2 linked regions of the Tamandua tetradactyla genome follow. The protein of the gene in region 1 interacts with the protein of each later gene in a biochemical or structural test. Links are inferred from orthologs where the notes say so. Each region holds a gene or a part of one and is shown on either strand. Other genes may lie near its edges.

Region 1 (7,034 bases):
ACCCGGGTCCCAGGGTTGCTGCGGCTGCCCACCGCCAGCTCAGACCCAAGGCAGGCACCGGGCCAAGCCAAGCAGCCCTGCCTGCCCTCAGGAGCCCTTGGGCCGTGCCCCAGGCTGCAGTGTGCCAGGCCTTGGAACGCCTCACTGTCCTCGCTGCCTTCCAGGAAAGCCGGGCGGGAGGCTGGCAGCCGCTCCTCCAACCCACCCACCCACACCAGCTAGGCGGCCTCTCTGCTGGCCAGTCTGTAGGCTGAGCCTTGGCCCCTCAGTCCCTCAAACCAGGCGCCCCTCGAGGCTGTGACCCCAACGCCACGAGGGGATGTGGGGCCCTAGATGCTCACCCCAGCCAGGCCAGAAGCCTCAGAAGGCAGCCCGCCTGGTGGCTCCGCTCAGGCTTGCAGACCCAGGAGCCCCCCGCGGCGTCCGCGCCCGCATGCACTGACCTCGCTTGTGGAGCCAGCCCTCCTTCACGATGGCTACGTCACTCATGGTGCCCAGCTCTGCAGCCGCTGTGGCCAGACGTCACCCTCAGGCTCCTTCTAGGACCAGGTCTCCAGAGCCCAGCAGGCCTGCCCTCACGCTGGGGGAAGCAGAGAGTGGGTGAGGGTATGTCCTGCATTCAGGCCAGCCCCTCTGTCCCTGCAACCACATCCTGCGCCCAGCTCACCTCAGGGTCCCAGCTTCGGCACAGCCTTCCAGCTCTTCCCCTCCACTTTCTCTCTCCCCAAAGCCCTGCTCCAGCCTCATGTTCCCCTCTGACCCTGCCCCCTGCCCCCTGGGCTGGGCACTCCTGGCCTGAGCTTCAAGCCCCTTTAGCTTCCCTCCCCCAACCCCCAGACTTCGGGTCCTCAGCCACGCCCCTGTGGGCCTTGCCCATCCCCTCCTTCCCTGGTCCCCGTCCCCAGAGGACCCTCCCAGCCCATCCCAGCCTCCCGAACCTGCCAGCCCCAGCGTCCAGGCTGCCCCAGCCTGCCTCCCCAACGCCTTGGCCACGGGTGCCCGTTAGTTCTCCTTGCCCGGGCTGCTTCTACCCGGAGGCTGGGAATCCCGGCCCAGGCTGGGGCACCGCCGCCCTGAGCCCCAGACTGGGGAAGGAGAGAAGCTCAAACATGAAGAGGACTGAGTTGGGAGCACAGGCAGCTGGAGCAAATGAGAGCCCAGAGTTGTCCAGGGCGGCGTGAAAAACCTCGCCACGGAAACCCCCAGGCCCCTCCTAAACCACAGCCCCTGCCAGTCTGAATCTGGTTCATTCATTCGGCCCATGTGTGCCAGGCAACTCTGGTTTTGCCAGGTCCAGTGCTGGGACTGAAGGACAAACAGAGGTTCAGACTGGTCCTGTCAGTGAGGGGCACCCAGTCCAGGATGGTTACAGACCCATAATCACAGCATTCAGAGGCAACAAAAGGGGAGGGGGGCACAGTACAAACGGCAGAGCACTGGCGCCTGCCCCACGGCAGCCCACCAGCCAGCTCTCACTCAAGCAGACACGCTGGCCATGGATTTTGCGTGGCCTTCTCCACCACTCCCCTGCTGGATGGACTCCTAGGCATCCCTCAAAACCCAGATTCCATGTCACCGGCTCTGGGCATTCTGGGAAAGAGCACTTGGCATGCTCTTCCTCTGGGCAGTCCTCTGCTACCCCTCTAGATGGGCACTCCTGAGGGCAGGCTTGGAAGAAACTCTCCCCTGGGACCCATCTAAAGCAGCAGGGAGGGCCACAGCCCATCTCCAACACCAGACCCCCAAGAGGGCCGGGCCCAACACACTTGGCAGGCCATGGGCAGTGAGACTGTAGGACACTGGTACCAAGAAAAGTGCTCTGAGTCACAGCACAGTGAGCACAGAGGGTGCTCTGCTGAGATTTGAGGGGTACTGCCCAGAGGCAGGGGACTGGACTCACCTCCCAATACCCCCAACCCCAGCCCCAGGCTGTAGGACTCCAGCAGACATGCTCCAGGACTGGTACCGACGGAGCTGGGCAGCTGCCGAGAGCCCACCAGCCCCTGTGCGTGCACTCAGGGTGGCATGTGCACAGCTGTACAAGCTAGGCAGCCGCAGGGCAGCAGAACACCCCAACTTCCCGGGCATTATGGCTGTCACAGCTTTCCTCTTACACTCCAGGCTCTGTCACAGCCACCTTCCTCTGCCCTGAGACACAGTGGAAATGGGTGTTCAGCTGGGGGGCAGGAACGAAGCTCCCTTAGAGAAGAGCAGCTCCTTCTGGAGCAAGCTGGGAGCCCAGGAGTGAATGTGGGGGCCACTTCGGGCCCCTGCGTCTGCCCACCAGGACAGTATTCAGGACCGTTCTGGCTGGGGAGAGTCATCGACTGCCCCAGGACCCCTCAGTCTAGGTCAAAGCCACAGTGTCCTCCAGGCTCCAGCATCAGCGATGGGTAGGCAGCACCCCCAGAGCCCACTACAGCAGGAAGCAGTTGGGGGCCCTGGAGGAAAGGCCCCAGCCACGGGAAGGGAACTGGCATGGGGATGGGGGGTAGCAGTATCCCTGGTGGGCTAGCCTGGGCATCGGGCCACCGGCTACAACTTCGGGGCTGGGGGGAAATGAGGTCTCGTCCCCACTGGCAAACTTGAACGCGGGCTCGATCCAAGCTTTCTCCTCACGCTGCCCCAGTACCGCCGGGACCCGCCTTGCCGGCCAGGCGTCCCGCTGGTGCCACGGCCCCCCAGGCCCCCAGGCAGCGCCCGGCCCCGGCTCCAGGCTGCCCCGCAGAGCCGCCCCCCAAGGTCACGGGGGAGAGGCAGGCCGGCGGGGCCCGCAGCCCCGGCCGCCCGCGCCCTCCCCGCGCCCTCCCGCCCGGCGCCGCTCGGCCACTTCCTGCTCGGGGCCTCCATTCCGGCTGCGCCGCGGCCCGCGCCCGCCCGGGAACAAAGCGCCCGGCCCGCGCGGGACATCCGGGCCCCGCCCGCGCCGAGGGGACTCACCGGGTGCCGCGTCCAGCGAGCGCGGGCCTAGCCGGGCCGGAGCCTCCGGCGCCCGCCGCTCCGCATCCCCGGCCGCGCTCGGGCCCGGCGCTTGGCGGTGCGGGCGGGGAGGCCGCGGCGGGCGGGCGGGGGGCGCGCTGCCTCGGGCCGGGCCTCGCCGCCGCCGCCGCCGCCGCCCGGGCCTCGGTGCTCGCCGCCGGCTCCGGCCGCTCGGGGCTGCGCTGGCTGCGCTGGGCCGGCCGCCCCCGCCTCGCTCCTCCCGCCGCGGCCTCCCCGCCCTCCGCCCGCCTCCCGCCGCCCGCCGCCCGCCTCCCGCCTCCCGGAGCCGCCCGCCCACATCCGCCTCCGCCGCCCCCGCCGGCCCCAGGGAGGGCGGCAGCGCCCGGTGGGCACCCGGCTGGCCCCGCCGCGGGGACCGCACAGCCGGGCCACAAGCCGCAGACTCTCCAACCTCAGTTTCCCCGTTTGTAATGCCAAAGCTGCTCTGACCCTGTGAGGACAGGCAGGCAGAGAGTAGTCTCACTTTCATTCTGTGCCTGCTCCAGGCAGGGTGCTGGGGGCCTGGGGGCCAGAGGCCAAGTGGAGGGGGCCCTCCAAAGCTGGCATGCAGTTCCTACAGCCAGGGGCTGAACCCCTTCATCTAGAACTGAAGGGCCCTGGGAGGGGAGCCCTGGTCCCCTAGAGAAGGGCTGGAAGCAAAGGGGGCTTAGGAAGGGGGCTGCATTCTCCCCCACACACCTCCTGGCCGTGCCTGGATCGGAGCTGGGTGCAGATAGCCAGAGGGACTGGGGTCCTGGGTGTTTTGGGGTTGGGGGCTACAGCAGACTCAAGAGTAGACTCCTGAGACAGTGCAGGACCCTGCTGAGCCCCAGGGGGGCTCCAGGCATCCCAAGTCCACTGAAGGGCAACTGGGGGCTGGCCGGAGGCAGGGACTCCAAGTGGGATTCTGAGGGTGGGAGTGAAGCCCCCTCTACCTGCAGGGCACTGAGGGTAGTGGCCAGCCCCAATACCTCCCTGAGCTGAAGTCTCTCCAACAGTTGACCAACACCCCCCACCCCCACACACACACACACCCCGAGCCTCTGGGCTGGTGATAATCTTTGGTAAAAGGAGGGCTCCAGCTGAGTCACCCAATGAGGTTGGTAAGTATTTGGGGATGGGTGCGGGTCATTTTTGTTTTTCATCTGGGGTCAGAGTTCAGTTGGTGGGGATGGGGGGTGAGGTGAGGCAGGCAGTCTGGGCCAGAGGCTCACCGTGGACCAGCTTCCGGGGCTCTGGCCTTGCCTCTGGGGGCTAACTACGGAGGGACTGGGGCAGGCAGGGAACATCCTCTGGGTCCTGGAGTCTCATCTGACACCTATGCTCACTTCCACTCCCCCATCCCCTCTCCCCAGCACAGCTGGCCCAGCTCCGGCTGTGTAGGCCCAGGAGGGGCCATCTAGGTCAGAGGTCAGGTCAGAGGTCAAGTCAGAGGTCAGGTCAGAAGCTGGGCCCGTCTCTGCCCTGAGGCTTGCCCCCCACAGCCTGGGTGTCCTGCTTCTGTGTCTTCTATCCCTTACTCACTGGTCGCACCTGTCCACTGCTCTCCAGTTCCAAGGAGGCTCTTCCTCGTCCCCTCCTGCAGTACACTAGATGCCCCCCCCCCACCGCCCCATCCTTGCCGGTTGGGGGAAAAAAGCTGAGGGGTCAGCCGGGAGGCTGGGGACAGGGGCCTGGGGATGGGAGGCTGAGTGGCCACTCGCGGGCCTGGAGGGCGCCCTCTCATGGCAGAGACTGTGACTGCCCAGGCCACCTTCCCTGCCTGCCTGGGAAATGGCATCCGGGCCAGAGGTTTCACTGTTGGTTTCACTGGCCAACTTGCTCATTGCTCTCCCTGAACCCTGTACCCATCAAGCCTCACACCCATCCCTTCTGGCCTCCCAGAGAAAAGGCAGACGCCCCTCCTCAAAGACACCCCTCTGCCCTGCCCCTCCCCAGACTGTCATAAGGAGAGGGTCCACATTGCTGGGACCACCAGAGCCCTCCTTGGCCAGGTGTTTTCAACAAAAACTGCTGCCTACTCCCCCACCCCATCCCGAGGGCGGTGCATGGGTCTCCTGCCCTGTCGCCTCCCGCAGCTGCTGCCCGCTGCCCTGGGACAGGACTACATATTCTTGGCAGCAGCTGCAGGGCGGGGCCTCAGGGCAGCCCCCAGGCCAGATGGTGGCCTGCGGACACGTTTAGGGAGGCTCTGCTCACACTGGCCCATGCTGGTGGCTCTGCCACTGCTTCCACACTGGTCTGGAGAAGGGGTCCCCCAAGGTTCACAGACCACGTGGCCTTGGACGGCCCTTCCTTCAGGCTTGGGAGGCAGACCCCACCCCCATCCCCAGGAGTGCCCGCCGCCCAGGCCCATGGCCAGGCTCCTGCGGCAGCTTCCAGACCTGTCGATTCCGCTCCGCTCCACATCCACAACCCCTGCCAAGCCTGGGTCCCCTTGTCCCTTTTCTGTGCCCCAGGGCCTCTTCAGCTGCATCAAGGAGTTGTCAGCCGGGGCCCCAACGTGGCCTCCCAGCCTCTTAGGGCCCAGGGCCTGGGGGTACAGCTCCTGATGGCTGGGCTGCCATGGAGGGCAGCAGGACACACAGACACCAGTAACAGAAAGCACCACTGTACATCCACTCAGCAGGTATTGGTGAGACCCACTAGTACCGGGCCGACTTTTTAAGCACCAAGGATGCGACAGTGAACAAAATCCAGGCCCTTCCTTCCACAGGGAGATGGGGGGCAGGGCAGGGGAGAGAAGAAAGAGCAAGGACTGACAGATACTGTGACGCACTAGAAGGCGGAGGCCCATGAGCGGAAGGTGGGGAGACGCAGGCTGGGGAGAGCGGCTGCAGAGTTAAGGAAAAGTCATTCTCCCAAGGGGACATATGAGCAGAGCCCGGGAGGGGCATTCTGGAACCTCTTGAACAAAGACCACCCTTGCTCCCGTTTCACGGATTAGGAGATTAAGGCCCGGCAGGGTTAAGGGTCGCAGCCCAGGCTGGGAAGGGGTCAGAGGCAGACCTCAGGGGCACCTGTGCTCAGAATTCCTGGAACTCAGCTATTCCTGTGGGGTGGAGGTGGGGGGTAATCATTCAGATGGAAGGGGGAGAGCTGGGCTCCCCACCCGGACAGAACCAGGGCTCTGCTGTCCCTCAGCTGGCTGCAAAGGGAGTGGTTCCAGGGGCCCAAGCTGCAGCTGCCAGATTTAACAAACAGAAACCCAGGGTGCCTGGTGGAATTTGAATTTGGATAAACCACAAATTACTTTTCATTGCAGTTTGTGACCTTCCCTCCCTAAAGATGGTGGGATCTATTAGCTAGGCAGGCCCCAAGACCTCCAAGTGCCCCAGGACCCCCAAGTACCAGGCCCCTGAGTAGCCCCCTGCACACCTCCCCTCTCCCTCCTCCTGGCACCCCTTCCTCCAGGGTCAGGGAAGGGTGCTTGCAGGCTGCACTCCTCCTGTCTCTTCCTCTCCCCACCCCCCTCCTGTCCTTGGAAATCAAGTCCTCCTCCAGCCCTGTTCTCAACACAAGTCCAGGGCCTGCCTGGGGACTGCACCAGCCCCAGGGGCCACCCAAGCACTCCCATCGGCCTCCATATGTGGCTCCCCAGGGGTGGGGTTCAGGATCAGACTGGGGGGATTGGCCCCAATTCACAAGGCCAGCGGCCCTGTGCACCTTACCTACCCTACCGGCCCAAACGGGAATGACACGAATAACCAGCTCCGCGGATGCGCTTAGCTGGTGTCTTCGAATCCGCCACGCCTTGCCGCGGGAAATGGTCGCGGAGGGCCGTGCACCCTTACACCCCACAGTGGGACCCCAGCCTCTCCAAACTCCTCTCCCCGCAGAACTAGGTGTTCCCTCCCACGCCTTGGCGCTGCCCCTTCCACCCCGGCCGCCCTGCCCCTGGGGAACAAATCCCGCGGGGCCGCCTGTCTCTCCCAGGACGCTGGTGCTTCCGCCCTGGGCTCTCGAGGCACCTCGGTCTCCCGCCCTCACTGCGTTTTCCCGCGTCCCGCCGCGTCTGCTGCGGCTGGTGCTTTCCCCGTGCCTCTCGGACAAAA
Region 2 (7,731 bases), on another chromosome or scaffold:
TGTCCTATGCAAACGATCTTCGTCTCAGGCAGGGCCCAGAAAGCAGATCACAAGAGAGGGGACTTAATTAAAGATTCAGTCAATTCCCAGCAGTAAAGCACAGGAAATATTTAGTTCCAAAGGAGCCACTCTTCAGTACTGAAAGAGTAAAGTTTTGGTTGACTTGCATTTTAGAACTGGATTTTCTTTTCTTTAAAGCTAAAATTCTTACAGAAATTTCTCCCTTTTATGAGTCTCAGAGTTGCTCAGATCTGAGAGTGAAACCTGGTTTTAACAAGTAACTCATTTATATGAAAACCCAACCCAGTGGACTAGTTAAGAGTTAGAACAATTTAGGTTATTTTTTTCTTTTAAAAATGCCCTTTTACTCAAACTGAAAATCACTTGCAGAAATCTGACTTGCACCAACTCTGGCTACACCTGAAAACTTGACTCATTTGAAAATGATCAGCCACCACCTCCCAAAGCCCCCAGCCTCCCTCTGGGCTCTGCCACTGGGCTTCACATGCTGGAGAGAGAATTCTTTGCTCCACAACGTGGCTCCCAGCTCCAGTAAAAAAAAGGTAAGATAAAATTAGAATTGCATTTGAAAACAACATGAGAAGATCAGTAAAGAACAAATAAAAACTGTTGGGAGGTCAGGATGGCCCTCAAATGTCGGATTTAGGATTAAAAAAAAAACCTAAATCTTAAACGTTACATTCCAAATTTATCCAGAACTAATACCTCTAGAGAGGCAAAACACTGCCTTTCTCTATCTTTAAAGAAAGGCCCTCTAGCAAGCAAGCTAAAGGAGGTTGTATCCACCTCCAAGGTGGGTGGTGAAGCACACACTGTACTGTGAATACCAGGGAAAAAAGGTTTTTTAATTGGCAAATTTTTATAACAGCTCAAGTAGGATCAATAGGTGAGCAAGTAATTCAAGTACTTAAATTCAAACGTTAGGCTGGATTTTTTTTTACAGAGGATCCCGATTTTGTGATTTATCAGAACAGGAGCCGACGGTAAGGAGGCATTTACCATCGGAACACTTGGTAAAAGGGCATGCAATGCTTAGCAATGGGGTTTGGGACTAGCGATACCTTTACTCTAAACCACACCTTGGGAAAAAATAAAATAAGTCCTGGCTCCTTCCCAGTGCGTTGCGAGCAGCCTGACCCTGACCCTGGCGCACGGGAGCGACAGGGACGGCGGCGTCTTTGAAACAACTTGGGTGCGAGCAGCGCACCGCAGACGCGCGTCCTCGGGCCAGTGAGGCCGACACCAGGGAGGAGGGGTCTGGCCCAGCCCGACGGCCTTATTTACATCAAGCCCTCCACCTGGGACGCCGACAAACCGTCAGCCTCCATCCACACGGGCCCGCAGGAAATCCGCCCCGGAGCCCCCGGCTCGGAACTGCCCAGAGGGCCCCGGGGGCACTCCCGCGGCGCAAGCCTCCACCACCCCGGACGCGGGTCGCAAAGCCCCTCAGGCCCTGCCCCTGGATCCTGACTCCGCGCTCGCTGCCACAGCGGCGGCCTGCCGGGGCGAGGGAGTGCGGCCCCGGCCCCGGGCACCCTGGCCGCCCGGCGGGGCCCTCCGTGCTTAATTACAACCCTCGGACGTGGGCCAGGCCCTTTCGGGAACGATGCCCTGGTGGGAAGGGCCGGCCCCGCGCCCCGCCTGCCCGGGCACCTAGCCGCGCGCGGCCGGACGCGCTGGCCCTTTAAAGCCGCTCGTTTCCTGCGCCCGGGCCCTCGCGCCGCCAGCGCCCGCCCCCGCCGAGGGTCACACTTGAACTTCGGCTAGCCCCGCGCGGCCGCGCTCCCCGGCGGCGGCCGCCCCTCGGCACGTGGCGGAGGCGCTACCTGGGGCTTGGAGAGGCCCCTCCGAGAAATCAAAACAAAGCAGAATGCCCACGGCCTCCGGAAACCGCGCGCTGGCCCCACACCGACCCCGCCTGGCCCGGACCCCCGCCCGGCGCGGCGGAAACTGCTCCGCGGGACTGCCCCGAACCGCGGCTGGGGAGGCCGCCCTCACCCCGAACGCCGGGAGGGAAAGGCCAGCGGCTGGAGTCCGAGCGGGCCCTGGGCGCGCCGCGAAGTGGACCACTTCCCCGCGTCCGCTTCCCGGCGCACTTTTTCCACTCCCCTGCCCCCGGGCCAGCCCCTGCTCTCTCGTCCCCAACTCCCGCGCGCGCACCTACCCTGGCCCCGCGAGCCGCCCCCGGCCCGGCCAAGCCCGCCGCCCACCCCCAGCCCGACCTGCCCCCGTGCCGGCTCCTCCCAGGCTGGTTCAGCCGCGCGCCCGGGCCGCTCACCTTCCACCCCGCGGAGCTGTTGCTGTCGCCCTTGTCCTTGAAGTAGGGCACGCTCTTGACCATCCACTCGTAAATCTGAGACAGCGTGAGCCGTTTTTCCGCCGAGCTCTCGATGGCCTTGGTGATGAGGTCGGCGTAGGACAGGTTGCCCCACGCGTTGCGGCGGGAGGAGCTGCTTTTGCGCGGCTGCCCCGCGAGCGGCCCGGCAGCGGCTGGGGGCCCGGGCGGGGGCGGCAGTGGCCCGGGCGGGGGCGGCGGCGCCGGGCGCAGGCAGCTCGCCTCCGCGCCCTGGAAGTCCCCGCACAGCCCCCCGGGGCCCGCCGCCGAGCCGGGCGCCCGCGGGAAGTCCCCGCGCTCCTCCAACAGGCTCAGGCCGCGCATGAAGTCGGCGCTGGCCGCGGCCCCGGGCAGGCCGGACGCGGCGTCGGGGTTGGCGGCGCCCGACGGCGCGGGGCTCGAGGTGGCCGAGCTGCACTGGCCGAACTCCGGCCGCGGCAGCGGCCAAGTGCACGAGCGCGGCCGGGGCACCGGCTCGAAGTCCGGGTCGGTCTCCACCGCCGGCGGCGCTTCGGCCATGGTGACCCCCGCCCTCCCGGGCCGCGGTCGAGCGAGGAGGGGCGGCGAGCAGGAGCCGGGCCGAAGCCTAACGCAGACCCTGGCCCGCGGCTCCGGGGCCGCCGAGGCGCCGGTGCACTGCCCGCGGCCCGGCCCGCGCAGGAAGGTGGGCGCTTGCCGCTCCGCCGCGCTCCCGCCGCGCCGCTGCCGCCTGTTGAATGCGGCGACTCGGCGGCCCGGCGTCGGGCCCGCGCCCCCGCCCCGCTGCGCGCGCGCGCCCGGCCCGACTGACAGCACGCGCGGCCAATGGGCGCATGGCGCCGCCTCCCGGGCAGCCATTGGGCGAGGGCCGGGGCGGGGCCGGGGCGGGGCCCGGGCGGGCCACCTCCCCCGGGCGGGGGCGCGGGGTGTTTTTCTCGGCCCCCCGCTCCCTTCTGGGCTTCTGGCTTTTGAGAGCTGTTACGATTTTGTGGGTAATTCTCGAGACTTGCCGTGCGTCTCTATCCGTCTCGGTCTTCCGATTCCTGGGAGGCAAACCAGCGTGGCGGCGGCGTCGCTCTGCCGGCTGCGACTTGAGAAGCCTGGCGGGGGGCGCGGGGGCGGGGGCGGCGGCGGCCACACTGCCGGGCCCTCCAGCTCCACCGCAGCTCATCTGTCAAGTCGTTCGGCCCGCAGGGACTGCACGGTCTGCGCCCAGAGCCCCGAGCAGAGCCCACCTGTCCCCGCCCAGGGCCCCGAGCAGAGCCCACCTGTCCCCGCCCAGAGCCCCGAGCAGAGCCCATCTGTCCCCGCCCAGAGCCCACCTGCCTGCCCCCAGAGTCTCAAGGAGAGCCCACCTGTCCCCGCCCAGAGCCCTGACCAGAGCCCACCTGTCCCCGCCCAGAGCCCCGAGCAGAGCCCACCTGTCGCCGCCCAGAACACCGAGTAGAGCCCACCTGTCCCCGAGCAGAGCCCACCTGCCTGCCCCCAGAGTCTCAAGGAGAGCCCACCTGTCTCCTCCCAGAGCCCCGAGTAGAGCCCACCTGTCCGCCCCCAGAGCCCCGAACAGAGCCCATCCGTCCCGGCCCAGAGCCCCGAGCAGAGCCCACCTGTCCCTGAGCAGAGCCCTCCTGTCCGCCCCCAGAGCCTCAAGGAGAGCCCACCTGTCCCCGCCCAGAGCCCCGAGTAGAGCCCACCTGTCCGCCCCAAGAGCCTCGGGCAGAGCCTACTAATCCGCGCTCAGAGCAGAGCCCACCCCCTCCGCCCCAAGAACCCACCCGTTGGTGTCGGAGGAAAGACTGCAACTCGGTCGAACCCGGATCACTCCAACTTGACCTGAAGAACTGCAAAGGAGAAAGGGGGCTCGGCGCGCAGAGAGAGCTCAATTTCACGCACAAACAGATCCAAATGCACCTAGACCTATTACTCTCCGTGGGAACCTCTCTCTGGGTGGGCGAAGAGGTCAGAGGAGAGCATTTAGCAAGAAGCTTATTACTTTACTCCTGGCTCCCAATTAAATTCAGCTATTTGAACGTTCTTTTCTGTATGGAAATGAGGTGCTGAGGTGCACAGGAGCAGAGCACAAGGAGAGAGCGGGCCAACGCCGCAGGGCGCGGTCCTGCCCAGACCCGGCTTGGCTTAGGCCGCCGCAACCCGCAGCCCACGTTTCCCCAGCTGAGTTCCAGGGCCAGCACGTCCAGGTAGGAAGACAAAGGCCCCTGTGTCTCAGAGAGTAGGAGAAACAGTTTTCTCTTCAAGTTGTTTGTTTGTTTGCTTTGCTTTTTCTTTTTTAGGAAGAATATGGAAGACATTTCCTTTAGAGGGATGGGCTCACTTAGAATGGAAGATAGCAGAGTTAAAAATATCTTGTCCAAAATGCTATGTTTTTTTAAATCCCCTCTTTCTTATAGACAATTCCTAAATTGAAAAAGTGACCTGTAAAATCACACTGCATTTACAGAAATTGAAAGGATTTGGAGAGGCATAAGTGACGCTATTCCTTCCTTTATATTCTCACCTATCATCCCTGTAGTCCAAACCCTTTTATTTCTTCTTGATCCACTTACTAGGACATCTTGACTGTGGGCGGAGGTCAGCTGGCTGGAATGGGAATGGGGATGGGGTGGGGGCCTCCTCTTCTGTGCTCTTATACTCACTATTGAGTTTGACCAGTCACTAGGGGCCTCGTAACCCAGACAGTGGGGTCAAACCCAGGCAGGCTGGAGCTGCAGCCTGTCCTGCTTCGGGCAGCCCTGCTCAGCCCCCCTGCTGGAGAGCTGCCCTGGGGGATCCTTCTCTGCAGAGGAAGCCAGTGGCCATTGTGGCCTGCCTGGAAGGAGGGACTCTGCACTTTCCCCAGATCCTTGAAATCTGCTTGGCGGTCTTTCCTAATAATATTTTTTTCTTTAAATGTCCTAGGACATTTGGTCTTTTTGAAAAACTTGACTTGAAGCAGGCGCAGAGAACCTTCAAGAACCTATGTTCCAGAAACATAGTTCCAAAAAAAATAAAAATATATCTTAAAAGGTTTCATTCTTTTTTATAGCTGCCTCCTATTGTGGTATGTTTTGATATTCTGAGGCCCTTCTTGGTGAACTTGTTTCCAATCATTAGCTGTCACACAGGCCATAAGCCTCTTGTCCAACCGTAATTTGAATCTCTGCACAGAGAGCTGAGGACGGATCTTCCAAAGTGAGATTGCAGGACTGGCCGATAAATTTGGGAGGAATGCCGTAACCCTGCATCAGGATTGTATCAAGTTAAATTTTATTTTCTGATGGACTCATAATGTTAAGGTTGAAAGTAATCTTAGAGGTCATCTTGGTGGTCCCCCTTCATTTATAGATAGGGAAACCGAGGCACAGAGAGGCTAAATTATTTGAATTATTGATATAGATCACAATGAAAGAGCGGTGGTGCTGAGGCTAAAGCCCCACTTCCTGCTTTCCCGTCTCTATACACCAGATTCCTGTACTTCTGTACAAGGTGAGGGAATTTTTAAGTAATTCCTATTTTTCTTTCTTTCTTTTTTTTTTTTTTTTGCTTAATAGCAGTAACACATGCTGATTATAGCTGATTCAGAAAACTCCACATGCTGATTATAGCTGATTCAGAAAACTCCACAAAAGTATAAAGAAGAAAGGTATAAATATCCTATAATTCCAATTCAGAGATAACCATTGTCACTTTGTGGTATATTTCCTTCCAGTTAAACCACAGAATCTTAGTAATTTTGGCTACATGAACTCCACTGAACTGAATACAGGTTTGATTTAAAGATCAAGAAAGCAGACACAAAAACATGATAGTAAGATAATGAAAGAAAAAAGTTACAAAAGAGGTGTTTTTGTTTTTTAAGTGAAAAATGTAAACATTATCTCTCTCTACAAGAGACTGAAGTATTTAAGTTGCATTAATTCTGTTTAAGGACAAAAGAGTTTTCTCTGTCCGTATTTTTTGTGGTTGCTGTTGGCTTTGAAGGCTCTTCTCAATGATGATCACGTATTAGTGCATGTGGCCAAATTGGGAAGAAATACTTGGTGTCATGCAAGGGCAATTAAAATGAAACAGAAATTTACTCTCCCAAAGTTCACTTGAGCATCAAACGTGATGTCCTTTGCTGGGCCTGATTTTCAGGGTGACTTGTTGCATCATCTCTGCAGCAAGGCTGAGGGATCTGTCATTTTGATCAATTCCCAGATGGAAACTTCTGCATTCACTGCATCCCAATCTCTGGTTTAGATTCTTATTTGTCCAAATAAGTAATTTAGGTCCAATTTAATGAGTAAGTGAAAAGCTTGAATGCTTATTTTTCAGTCATGGCACTTAGCTTCCACATTTCCTTTCCCGAACTTGTCCATTTCCACTATATTTTTCTGAATTATTAGAGGATACTGTTACGAACCTAAAGAAGCCTCAGTTGGCCTATAGAAAGCAATAACCTGAACAAACACAGCCCGGGGGCCTGAAGCCAACACCCTGAAAGCTGGCTTACTGGCAGCTACAGGACTGTCAGCAGTAGGCATTCATTTTCTTGAGGGATTTTGGATTTTGTCATCAATTCCACCAAGATTTACAGGGCACTACTGTGTGCCAGCTGTTCAGGTGGTAAATTCCTCGGGTTCACAATGGTTTGTTTTCCTTGATGTCGGTGTTAAGAATACAGAGCTCTTTAATGATCAATAATGCATGTTGATTATTTATTTGAAGGAATGACACACAAAAACGTTTGATGGATATTAGGAATGAATGCTAAGGCAGAAAGGATCAAAACATTATCATAGTCACCATTTCAGAGAGAAATGAGATAAGGTGGAAAAGTCAAATTAACGTACCATCCACAGGCTTGGGGACATCAAGCCCTGGCAAAAGAGCTTCACGGTTGGAATGATCTTATTCCAAATGGACAAAAGTGGGCTATAAGAGAACAGGCTACAGGAGGGGTGGGGTGGGTGGAGATTGGGGAATTACTGCTTAATGGCTACAGAGTTTCTGTTTGAGGTGATCAAAAAGCTTGGTAAGGGATGGTGGTGTTGGTGGCACAACAGAGGGAATTTATGTCTATGTTGTATATATGTTAACATAATTTTTTTCAGTGGACTCTACAGAGACTGCATCAGATTGTTTGTCCATCACAGATAGACTCTGCCTGCCTACTACTCCTAACAGGGGGGAAAGTTACAAACCAGTTATCCGTTTTTGGTTCTGCTGCATGCAGCCACTGTTTGTCAGCTTCGATAAACTCTATTCCTTCACTTTGAATGTTGGTGAAAGACAGCTCATGGGTCCCTGCAGGAATATAAAAATGTATTTTTAGACAATCTAAATGACAGACATTAGAATGGGAATGGTTAAGTAAAACAAGAGCAGAGCTGTAAGGTAGGTTCTTGTGCAGCCAC

Evidence for each region. The genes of interacting proteins can lie anywhere in the genome.
Region 2: of the proteins of AKT1 (region 1) and FOXO1, one has a biochemical effect on the other in vitro, tested with the Homo sapiens proteins (4 studies listed by BioGRID). The link is inferred for Tamandua tetradactyla from reciprocal best matches to the Homo sapiens genes AKT1 and FOXO1.

What each region holds. Positions count from the first base shown.
Region 1 is NC_135340.1:87,905,925-87,912,958, reverse strand, and holds the start of AKT1 (RAC-alpha serine/threonine-protein kinase), read right to left. Parts: upstream 3,015-7,034; 5' UTR 2,941-3,014; intron 581-2,940; 5' UTR 490-580; coding exon 444-489; intron 1-443. UniProt on the Homo sapiens protein: AKT1 is one of 3 closely related serine/threonine-protein kinases (AKT1, AKT2 and AKT3) called the AKT kinase, and which regulate many processes including metabolism, proliferation, cell survival, growth and angiogenesis.
Region 2 is NC_135330.1:99,397,849-99,405,579, reverse strand, and holds the start of FOXO1 (forkhead box protein O1), read right to left. Parts: upstream 3,019-7,731; 5' UTR 2,876-3,018; coding exon 2,300-2,875; intron 1-2,299. UniProt on the Homo sapiens protein: Transcription factor that is the main target of insulin signaling and regulates metabolic homeostasis in response to oxidative stress.